Linked DNA regions of Sus scrofa. The protein of the gene in region 1 purifies or fractionates together with the protein of each later gene. This does not show direct contact. Links are inferred from orthologs where the notes say so. Each region holds a gene or a part of one and is shown in the gene's direction. Other genes may lie near its edges.

Region 1 (4,173 bases):
GGCACGAGGGCTAGGACGCCTGTGGGTCTGAGGGTGCGTGGGAAGTAGGACTATCTGCAGCCCGCGCCGAGCCCCCTTCTCTCGCTTCCACTCTTTCAGGTCAAGAATGGAGGGAACCCGGCTGGCGGGTGCTGGGCCGGACAACGGGCCCCCGGCTACACTCGACCTCAGAGGCTCAGCCCTCGGGCGCAGACAGGTGGGTTCCGGTCGCGGAGGCGGCGGCCAGGGCGTCCTCCGCGCGGACACGACAGTCAGAGCCCGGGCCCCTGGAGGCGTGCGCGGCTCGCGCGGGGCCCGAGGACTCGATACATCGCAGGAAAAGGAAAAAAACACAAAACAAAAACAAAACCCACCGACTTCCCCGCGTTTCTCAGCAAAGGAGTCGAGGGCGGAGTCGAGAGGGGGCGACTGAGCAGAATTCCGCGAGGCCGCCTCCGCCCGCCCACTCAGCGCCCCCGAAGCGCCCAGCGTCTCCGGCCCCCGCCCCGCCCGGCTTTGGGCCCGGAGCGGAGGTCGAGGGCAAGCGAGCGACTCGTTCCACTCGGGCTTCCCGAGTACTCGGTTCTGCTCCCCGGTAGTAAACAAAGTGTCGCCGCCGCCTCCACGCTGGTTTGCCTCACAGCAATCAAAACACTGAGAGCGGAGAGACTCACAGAAACATTCGAAAATTACCAGAAAATAATAACAGAGAGCCAAAAAAAAAAAAAAAAGAGTGAGGGAGACTGTGCGTGTGTGAGAAAGAAAAAAACACCCCACTACCCCCACCAACCCACTGCCACCTCCCGCTGGAAAACCAGCCCCCGCCCAGGCCGGCGTCCACTGGCTGCCTGGGCGGTGCCGCCGCGAGCTCATTGGCTGCTGGGGCTATCAGTCAGGGGCGGGCAAGCGCGCGCGCCGCCGCGGGCGGGGGGCGGCGGCAGATCCCGTAAGTCGGGCGGCAGCGTAGTCGCAGCAGCAGCCGCCGCTGCCGCCGCCGCCGCCGCCACATTCAACAGGCAGCAGCGCCGCGGTCGCGCCGCCGGGGAGAGTGAGCGGCCCGCGGCGCCCGTCCTTCCTTCGGTTTTCGGGCCGTGTCAGTAGGAGCGCGACGCTGGCGCTGCCTGGGCTGGGCGACTCTGGCCTGCCGTCCCGTCCGTGCAGCGGACCTGGAGGAGCCTAGATGTTGATGGACCCGCGAAGTTAAGTTCTGGGCTCGCGCTTCCACTTCGCCGCCGCGTCTTGCTCCGGGTTTCCGTCCGCCCGCGGCACCGACCTCGCCCCCCAAAATCTCGGACCGGCTCTTCGCGCCCTCTCCCCTCAGCTCCTGGTGCAGCGCCCTCGCACTTCTTGGCAATCCCGCTGCTGGGGGAGGGGCGGGGGTCACCATGGCCGAAGCGCCCCAGGTGGTGGAGATCGACCCGGACTTCGAGCCGCTGCCCCGGCCGCGCTCGTGCACCTGGCCGCTGCCCAGGCCGGAGTTTAGCCAGTCTAACTCGGCCACCTCCAGCCCGGCGCCGTCGGGTGGCCCAGCCGCGAACCCCGACGCTGCCGCGGGCCTGCCCTCGGCCTCGGCGGCCGCTGTCAACGCCGACTTCATGAGCAACCTGAGCCTGCTGGAGGAGAGCGGGGACTTCCAGCAGGCGCCCGGCTCCGTGGCGGCGGCGGCGGCGGCGGCAGCCGCGGTGGCGGCGGCGGCCGCCGCTGCTGCCACCGGGGGGTTGTGCGGGGACTTCCAGGGCCCAGAGGCGGGCTGCCTGCACCCGGCGCCGCCGCAGCAGCCCCCGCCGCCCGGGCCGCTGTCGCAGCACCCGCCTGTGCCCCCCGCCGCCGCCGGGTCGCTTGCCGGGCAGCCGCGCAAGAGCAGCTCGTCCCGCCGCAACGCGTGGGGCAACCTGTCCTACGCCGACCTCATCACCAAGGCCATCGAGAGCTCGGCAGAGAAGCGGCTCACGCTATCGCAGATCTACGAGTGGATGGTCAAGAGCGTGCCCTACTTCAAGGATAAGGGCGACAGCAACAGCTCGGCAGGCTGGAAGGTGAGTGGCCTCGGGGCGCACGGCTGGAGCGGGAGGGGGGCACGGGAAGCCCTGCCTCCGCCTTAGGTCGGAGGGGACGGCTGTGCAAATTTGCTTGGCTTGAAAGTGCAGGGCACGCGGGCAGCGCGTGCAAGAAGCATCGGAGGTGGGTGGTGGGCTTGCCTCGGACCCGTCGGAGGATTGGAATAAACGTCTGTGTGTACGCTCTCGTGAGAGTTGGAGCGGGAGCGGGAAGGGGCGAGTTGGGACCGAAGTAGTGAAAAAAGTACGCCAAGAAGTGGACCTCAGAGCAACCAGAAAAAAAGTTCTCCAGTGAACGGAGAGCGGGGTTCACTGCGACCTGCCCCCCCTTCTCCACGGCCCGCGCGAACTCCTGCCGCTGCTCCTTTCCCTCCACGACCTCAGGGGTGAGGGCGGCTCCCCTCCTCCCCCGCGGCCCCCCAGCTCCCCGCCGCCCCGCGGAGCCGTTTCCGCAGCGCTGGGCGGGGGAGGCCGCTGCGAGGGGCCTCGGAGCCCCGCCGCTGGGGGACGGGGCTGCAGGTGGAGGGGACAGGCAGGGCGCGAGGCAGCCGGCCCGTGGAGGTTGGCCGCGCGGTTTTTGGAGGCCGTATGCATTTTGTTTTATTTTGATTTTATTCTAAGTGGCCTCGAGTGCAGGGGTCCGGGCGCGCAGAGCCAGAGGTAGCGTCTCCGACACGTGCAAAGGGGCGGCCACCGCCTGCGGAGCGCCGGCGCCCGGCGGCGCGGGGCGAGCTAAAGTTCAAGTGTGACCCTCGGCGGGGGCGGGAGCAGGCGACGGCGAGGGAGGGGCCGCGAGCGCAGGAAGCGAGCGCCTTTAAAGGGCCAGCGCGTCCTGGCCCTGGGCACCTCCTCGCCCGGCCGCCGGGCAGCAAGGCCGGCACGTCTCTGCCCAAGGAAGTGCCCCCAAACTTGGCCTCGCCGAAGGTTCGAGGCCTTTAATTAAGCACGGAGAGGATTTCCTGGATGGCCAGGGCTGGGGACGTGGGTATTCTTGCTTTGCCCCCTCAGGGTTACAGCGTTTGGAGGTACAGGTCCGAGGGGCAGGTGACTGGTGTTCGGGGAGTTGGAATGAAGGTTCGAGTCAAGGGAACCTGCAAGGACCTCCTGTCTCGACGGAGGCCTGTACACGCGGTGCCTCTGGCCGTTTTTGCCTTTCTGAGAGACCGAGAGACAGCGGGAGAGACACTCAGGTGGGGGCACATCCCTACCCTGAGGTGGAGAAGGCCTTGGGGCTCCCAGGAGGACGGGCTGGGGGAGGCATACCGGCCAGCGGTTCGCCCCGCGACTTCCAGAAGCTGACACTTTCTGTTACAGGTGGAAGGATCGATGTTAAGGTTCTCTGGTTGAGTCAGACTCCTCTTCACTCCTCCTCGGGACTGTACAGCATAATAAAGATTTTTCTTTGCTGCGCATTTGTTGCACAAAGGTTGTTTTACGTACACTGTCATTCCTGTGGTTAATGTGTGTCAAAAAGGTTAAGTTAATCACATCGTGTTGAAGCTCCTGGAGAAGGAACAAGGATCTTATTTTTTCCAAAATGTATTTTAGAGTAAAGGCTTCACTTAGGATCTGATTACCAGGCATTACATGCAATTTACCTAGGTTTCAAAAAAGTAAAGTGCCTCCTTATTTTACCCTTGGTATATATTCTTTAAAGTCAGAAAATGGGGGTTGTCTGCCAAATCCAATTTTATAACATTTGAATTTAAGTACTTGACTTACTTGTTCATTTATCAATCCTACTTGAGCTGTTGTAAAACCATTTGCCATTAAATTTTTTGTTTTCGGAATTAAAAGTACAGTGTGTACTTAACACCGTTTTTTCATGTCCTTGGAAATGGATACAGCCTACTTAAGCTTGCTGGAGTGTTTTTCTTTTAAGATAGGGAAAGGCAAAGTTTGGGGATTAGTTTTAGTTTTGCCTCTCAAATGGTCTTAAGTCAGATCATTCCTGTATTCTTAAACTAGGAATATAACTTAAGCATTTAAGGTTTATGCTTTTGTTTTTTTTTAATAGTTTCTAAGACTAAAATCACTCCCTGACCCCAGCCATTTTTATTAGGTTTCTACTTGTTCTCATTTTTTTCCCAGGTAGTTAAAGGTGTGCTTTTTTGTTTGTTTGTTTGTTTGTTTTTTA
Region 2 (3,644 bases), on another chromosome or scaffold:
TGTTAACTCTAGTCTTTTATTTTTTGACACTCACAGCTGGTCATCAATGCTGCGTTGGGATTTGACACGTTTGTTGTCATGAGACATGGCCTGAAGAAACCTAAGCAGCAGGGAGCTGGGGACCTGTGTCCCAGCAACCCTGTGACATCTGCTGACCTCCTGGGCTCATCACTTTTTGCCAACATCCCTGGCTACAAACTTGGCTGCTATTTCTGCAATGATGTCGTGGCCCCAGGAGATGTAAGTGGACTTCTTTGAGGTTCCAGATATTTCTTACAACTGTCTTGCCCACTAGGGTGGAGAGACCCAATACTTGCCTTTTTAACTGTGTATTACCTTTTAACAAAGGGAAAAATTCTCCTGTTTGCAGGGTGGCATTGTCCTTCTGTGAGCCTTGATTGTCATCATCAACCAATACAGCTGTTCCTTGTTCTCCAGTGTAAACCCAGTGACAACTATTTTTATGGAAAACTTGGCAAGGAAACTGCAGGCTAGATGGGTCCCTGCAGCACTCAGCACTGTCTGCTGTGCATATCTTAGTGAAGAGGGTGTTAAATGGGAGTCTGAAGGCCCAGCCTTTAGTCTAGGTTTGGACACTGGCTCACAGTGTCATTCAGAATCAATCTCTTGGCTCCCTTTGCTTCTGCACAGTGGACCTGAGGACCATAAAGTTGTCGGATTTAGCAAGTCAAAATACGGGATTCATGGCTAACTTTGAATTTCAGTAAATAGTGAAAAATATTTTAGTATAACTACGTCTCATGCAATATTCAAGACATGTTTGTGCTAAAAAAAAAAAAAAGTTTTTAAAATTCAGATTTAACCCAGTATCTTGTATCTTACCTGCTAACCCCAGTAAGGAAGGGAGGGGTACTTTCACTGACTGCTCTCAGTACAAGGTCGAATGTGAAGGTGCTGTGAAGAGCAAGCCCCACACTGTTCCAGTGTAAGGTTCTATGGTCTTAATACTGCCTCGCAAGCAGGGTCAGTCAGTAGGAGTGGCCTTGTGTCAGAACAGGCAGGTGTTTCTAGTAAAACAAAGCAGAGGTGTTCATCCCTCCCTTCCATTTTCCCCTTCTTTTAAAACTTGTTCCTGAGCAATTCATACCACTTTTGGGTGACTGGCTTTTGTGTCTTCCCAGTATTTTTAAGAAAAAAAAAAAAAAGATAAATATCTGCCTGTGTGAAGAAGGGTGGCTTTAGCTCCATCATGGGTTATAATATCCAGCTGGCCCTGTTGTTTCCTGATTACCAACATGAGGGACCAAGGGTCAGTTGCAGTTAAGTCACATCTGTTCATAAGGCACAATTTTCAGAGTTAAAATGATCCCTAACAACCCCTTAGATTTGCCTGGAGTTGACAGGTAAGAACTTCTTGTGTTGAACTAATGAAGGCTTGTGTTTGGAGCCGCGTGGTAGCATAAGTTCTTGTCCTTAAGCCCAGGGGTGATGAGATGCACACGGTGTGGGCGGCACGTAGGGACAGAGGGCCGCAGGATGGCTCATCGTTCCTCCTGCCCCACATGCGCTCTGAGGCTCTAGCGCAGTCAGAACAGCGGGGCGGGATCATTTTTTCTGTTCAAATGTTACTCCTGTCTGTGTCTCTGACTCCCAGCTAACAAGCACAGTAGAGTTGAGTCACTTAAAAACACGCATTGTGCAACTCCTGTTTGGGGCAGCTAGGCCCCTAATCTTTCATTTGTTTATAAATGCTAGTCATTTTTAGTGTATGACTGCATTTAGTCACCTAACTTGTATACTTCATTTTTCTTGGTACTTGCAAGAAATGATATTATGTGAGGCCGACCGGTCTTTGCCAACAGAGCGACTGGCTCTGTGGTGGAGCTTTATCGTGGAGAGAGTCATGCTTTAGATGGCTAGAGCTGGGTAGGATGGAGCTATGAGTGCACAACAGTGACTGTTTCTCTGTAGTCCACCAGAGACCGGACCTTGGACCAGCAGTGCACTGTGAGTCGTCCAGGACTGGCCATGATTGCAGGAGCCCTGGCAGTGGAATTGATGGTTTCTGTTTTGCAGCATCCGGAAGGGTAAGTTTGCTGGTTAGAGGTGGGTGTTTAAACAAAGAAAGCTTTCGTGTCTCCCTTGGCCTTTTCTCAGTCTGACTCTTCTGAGAATCATTTTTCTCTTCCCAGCCTCAAAAAAAACCAAGATTTTTAAAAGCCTGCTCTGATTCCTTGGCCTAGAAAACTTGTCATATAATCTTTAGGGCTGTATCTCTGCATCCTTCTGGAATTGGACTATCCCATAGTTAATTGGTAATCAGTGATAAGGAAGGATGAAAATTTTGGTAGAGGCCTTAAGGACCTTCATGCTTTATTCTGTTAAGCCCTGATCTCCTTAGCCCTGAGCATTTGTAAGGCAGTACCTGAATCACATCGGGTAGAAATTGCATTTGGCTGTATGTAACAGAGATCCATCTTCATCGGCTTAGCCAAATGAGTGGGGCTTTATTTTTCTCTTGCAGCAAAAAGCTCAGAGGCAGACAGTTCAGGGCTGGTACAAGGGCTCCCACATGTCGTCAGGGACTCTAGTTCCTTTTCTTTCACTCAGCGACTTTAGCTTTCTTCTTTATGTTTGTCACCTCGTGGTCACAAGACGACTGCTCTGCCTTCAGTGCTGCTTCTGTGTTAGAGAAGAATTAACCAAAGGATGAAAGTTGTGCTCCGCTGCAGCTGCCCCCTTTTAAAGAGCTCTCCTGGAGAACTTACCCATTGATTCTAAAAGTCTTAATGCACATGACCTTGCACTGTTAACTGCAAGGAAGGCGGAGAAATGTAGTTCTTTGGGTGGACACATTGCCTCTCTGACAAAACTGTGATGAAATAGAAGTGAGAATGGACGTTCGGCAGGCCACCAGGAGAATCTGCACACTCTTTTTTTGAAATTCTGTATGTATTTTCAACCCCAAGAGATATTATTGTTATATAATTGACAGTCATTTCATTTTGCTGATATTTTCTTTTTTGTTGCTTTTTATCTCTTTCTATATCCTTGGGCCTCCATTCAAGGGCATTTTCCTTCTCCCTGAAGAATACCCTTTATTATTCCTTTAGAAATGCTAGTGGCAAAGATATTTCAGTTTTTTCTTTGTCTGAAAGTGTCTTTGTTTTATCTTTATGTTTGAAAGATATTTTTGCTGTGTACAGAATTCTGGATTGCTGGTAATTTTCCTTGAGCAAGTTGAGACTATAGTCCTATTGTCCCTGGCTGCCTTCATCTTCGTTGAGAAGTAAGGTGTTTATCTCATTGCTGCTCTTTTGATATAATTTGTTTTTCTCCCTTTCCTCTACCCTCAGTTGCTTTTATGATTTTCTCATTGTCTTTGGTTTTCAGAAGTTGGAAATATATACCTAATTCTGTCTTTATTATTCTACACCTATTTCTGTATTTATTCTGATTGTGCTTTCTAGTGCTTCTTGAATCCATGGCTTGCTGCGTTTTTTTTACCCATTGTGGAAAATTTTCAGCCATTATCTTCTAAAGCATTGCTTCTGCCCCTTTCTTGATTCTTTCCTTCTGAGTCTCCAGTTGCTGTTAGAATTAGCCTGTGCTCTTTTCTGTATTTTCCATCATTTTGTCTTTCCTTGTTTCAGTCCAGTGATTTTTTTCTGGCTTATCTTCCA
Region 3 (3,644 bases), on another chromosome or scaffold:
AAACCGAGCCCTCGGCACTCCGCGGCTGGAACAATCGACCCGTTGAGGGTCCTGAACAGTCCTTTGTTGAGGACGCCTTCTCCAGTCTCCCTGTCCCCCAGCTGCTGCCATGTCCGAGTCCCTGTCCCGCTCAGCAGCCAGGCCCGCCGCCCCGACCCCTGCCCCGGCCTGGGGCCAGCCGGCAGCTGCCTGCAGCCGGCTCCTGGCCTGGGCGGGCCCCCAAGAGAACGCAGGCCCTGGCAACGCAGCTTTCGTTCCTTCCGCCCTCCTGCGCCTGGGTTTTAGGATAATTGACTCCCAAGGGTGCTTATGAGGGGATAATAATAGTAATAAAACCCCCGATAGCTCACTGAGCTCTCCCCGTTTGCCAGGCACTGGGGCAAAGCACTTGACAGGCCTCCTCTGGTTTGATCTTCGCGTGGTGACCCGTGAGGGGGATCTGGACGGAAGAGGAACTGGAGGCCCAGAGAGGCTGTGCCGTGGTGCAGGGTCACACAGCCGGCAAGAGGCAGAGTCTGGGCTCCACCCCAGGCCACCCGAATCCAAAGCAGCACACACTCCCTTCCATGTGCCCCCCACCCCCCGGCCCACCAGGCCTCCTCCAATGATTTCATGAACGTAGCCAAACACTGAGGCTGTGGAAGTCTCAGCCCTTGTCACCCTCACTGTCCCTCTTTACACAAGGCACCCCAGAGGTGCCCAGTTCACAGGCCCTTACACTTGTCTATCAGCCTACAGGCACATGGTGCCACGTTGGCAGGGCTGCCAGCCAGCCAGCTACTAAAAAGGCAACGGGGCTATTTCTGCACAGCCCCACGTGCTTGTGAAGTGATTCCACTGCTGCCATGTCTTCCATCCTCTTTTCTGAAAGCTGCTGACAATGGGGAGCAACGCACCCGCAGGCGTACAAATCACGGGTCCCAAGAAGTGAGGCAGTTCCCTCTGTGGCGCAGCGGAAACGAATCCAGCAAGAATCCATGAGGATTCGGGTTCAATCCCTGGCCTTGCTCGGTGGGTCGGGAATCCAGTGCTGCCATGAGCTGTAGTGTAGGTCGAATATGTGGCTTGGATCCAGTGTTGCTGTGGCTGTGGCGTAGGCCACCAGCTGTAGCTCTGATTCACCCCCTAGCCTGGGAACCTCCATATGCCACAGATACGGCTCTAAAAAAGCAAAAAGAAAAAGGAAGGAAGAAAGAAAGGAAGTTGAGGGAGTTCCCTGGGGACGCATCGGGTTAAGGATCCAGGGCTGTCATTTCAGGGGTTCAGGTCACTACTGCAGTGCGGATTCAATCCCTGGCCGGGGAACTTCCACATGCCCAGTGCAGCCCAAAAGAAAAAAGTTGAGTACAAGTGACTCGGAGCATACTCAGTGCTGGGCCCTGATCGGAGCTTCACATGAATGAGATCGTTCTCTCAACAGCCCTGCAAGGTCACTACTGTAATTACGCCCCTTTTACAGAGCTGAAAGCTAAGGTGCAGAGTGATGATCTGAACTAAGACACTGCCATCAGGTCAGAGAAGGAAACTGAGGCACAGAGAGGCTGTGACTTAGTGCACCCCCCCACCCCCACCTCCATCCCCATCACCCCCCACCCCTATCACCACCCCCATCACCACCATCATCCCCACCCCCACCCATCACTCCCACCCCATCACCACCCCCTACCCCACCCCATCACCCCCCATCACCACCATCATCCCCACCCCCACCCCATCACTACCCCCATCCCCACCCCATTACCCCCACCCCCACCCCACCCCATCACCCCCCACCCCCCATCACCACCACCACCACCCCCAAACCCCTATCACCACCACGGGTGTGCAGGAGAGCCAGAATTGGGAACCCTTATCCACTCTGCTGCTCACTGGGTGTGGGCTGAGAGTGGCAAATCTTTGGTCTTCACCTGAAAATTATCAAACTTTAGGTGGCTGATGTGCATTTGATTACAAGAGAAGGAATGTGCTAGAAGTGGATGGCCATCCAAGATTGTGTCCAAAAGATGAGGGGTGGCCCGAGATTCTTTTCACAATAAGCTCCAGCTCTTCTGGGGGAACCCCATGCCCAGCCCTTTCACTAAGATCTCGTGTGTTCTTGTCTAGATCTAGCTAGGAGGAGAAATTTCCCTCCAAGTGGCCTTTTGTTTAATCTTATACCTTGGTATAATTTTAAGCAGGGGATTCTTTTTTGTTTTTAATGCAATTTTATTTTTTTGTTTTTGTTTTTGTTTTTATAGGGCTATACCCAGGGCATATGGAAGTTCCCAGGCTAGGGGTCAAATCCGCCTGCACCACAGCCACAGCAATGCCAGATCCGAGCTGTGTCTGCAAGCTGCACCACAGCTCATGGCAACACTGGATCCTTAACCCACTGAGTGTAGCCAGGGATCAAACCCACATGCTCATGGATAATAGTCGAGTTTGTTACTGCTGAGCCACAGCGAGAACTTCCTGAGCAGTGGATTCTTTGACTCCCACGCTGGCTCTTCCACCAGCCAACTGTGTGACCCCCCTCTGAGCCTCAGTTTCTTCATCTGTAAAACGGGATTTTTTTGGGGGGGGGCTCTTTTGTCTTTTTTTGTTTGTTTTTGTTTTTTTTGTCTTTTTGCCATTTCTTGGGCCACTACCGCGGCATTGGAGGTTCCCAAGCTAGGGGTCTAATTGGAGCTGTAGCTGCCAGCCTACGCCAGACCTACAGCAACACAGGATCCGAGCCGCGTCTGCGACCTACACCACAGCTCACAGCAACGCCAGATCCTTAACCCACTGAGCAAGATCAGGGATCGAACCTGCAACCTCATGGTTCCTAGTCGGATTCGTTAACCACTGAGCCACAACGGGAACTCCCTCTTTTGTCTTCTTAGGGCCACACCCTCAGCATATAGAGGTTCCCATGCTAGGACCTGTAGCCACTGGCCTACACCGCAGCCACAGCAATTTGGGATCCAAGCCTCGTCTGTGACCTACATCACAGCTCACGGCAACACCGGACCCTTAACCCACTGAGCAGGGCCAGGGATCAACCTGCGCCCTCACAGATCCTAATCAGATTCGTTAACCGCTGAGCCACGATGGGAACTCCTATAAAATGGGTGTTACCACCACCCACCTTGAGATAGTTGGGGGACCGTTCAGGGATCTGAAATGCTTCCTCCAGGGCCTGGCATGGAGTAGATGGCTTCAGGGACTGGGGTAGGCGATGTTGAGCAAACTATGTCATGTGCTGTGTAAACTCTTCTCCTCCAGGTCGCAGGGTCATCTGTTTGGTGGGAGCTGGAATCTCCACGTGTAAGCATCCCCTGCCCCAGGAGCCGCCCCTGGTTGGGTGCCCCTGGGAAGGGCTGGGGAGGAGCCGAGCGGGCGCTATCGCCTGGGAGGGTCGGTGTGGTAGCAATGGGGCCGAGCGAGGTCCCTCATCTTTGGCCCCCTGCCCCCAGCCGCGGCATCCCTGACTTCCGCTCCCCGTCCACGGGCCTCTATGCCAACCTGGAGAAGTACCGTCTGCCCTACCCGGAGGCCATCTTTGAGATTGGCTACTTCAAGGTACGAGTCCCAAGGTACGTGGTGGGGGCCGGGGGCCGCCTGGTGCCAGCTCTCACCTCACCAGGGGCACGGGGCTGCCTGCCCTCCGGTCTCTCTCCCAC

The links. Proteins that work in one complex are often made in the same cells at the same time.
Region 2: the proteins of FOXO1 (region 1) and ATG7 purify together in Homo sapiens (affinity purification with western blotting; 4 studies listed by BioGRID). This does not show direct contact. The link is inferred for Sus scrofa from reciprocal best matches to the Homo sapiens genes FOXO1 and ATG7.
Region 3: the proteins of FOXO1 (region 1) and SIRT2 purify together in Homo sapiens (affinity purification with western blotting; 3 studies listed by BioGRID). This does not show direct contact. The link is inferred for Sus scrofa from reciprocal best matches to the Homo sapiens genes FOXO1 and SIRT2.

What each region holds. Positions count from the first base shown.
Region 1 is NC_010453.5:15,407,225-15,411,397, reverse strand, and holds the start of FOXO1 (forkhead box protein O1), read left to right. Parts: upstream 1-1,338; 5' UTR 1,339-1,364; coding exon 1,365-2,015; intron 2,016-4,173. UniProt on the Homo sapiens protein: Transcription factor that is the main target of insulin signaling and regulates metabolic homeostasis in response to oxidative stress.
Region 2 is NC_010455.5:67,490,143-67,493,786, forward strand, and holds part of ATG7 (ubiquitin-like modifier-activating enzyme ATG7), read left to right. Parts: intron 1-36; coding exon 37-240; intron 241-1,932; coding exon 1,933-2,048; intron 2,049-3,644. UniProt on the Homo sapiens protein: E1-like activating enzyme involved in the 2 ubiquitin-like systems required for cytoplasm to vacuole transport (Cvt) and autophagy.
Region 3 is NC_010448.4:47,693,378-47,697,021, reverse strand, and holds part of SIRT2 (NAD-dependent protein deacetylase sirtuin-2), read left to right. Parts: intron 1-3,246; coding exon 3,247-3,286; coding exon of another isoform or gene 3,287-3,288; intron 3,289-3,437; coding exon 3,438-3,543; intron 3,544-3,644. UniProt on the Homo sapiens protein: NAD-dependent protein deacetylase, which deacetylates internal lysines on histone and alpha-tubulin as well as many other proteins such as key transcription factors.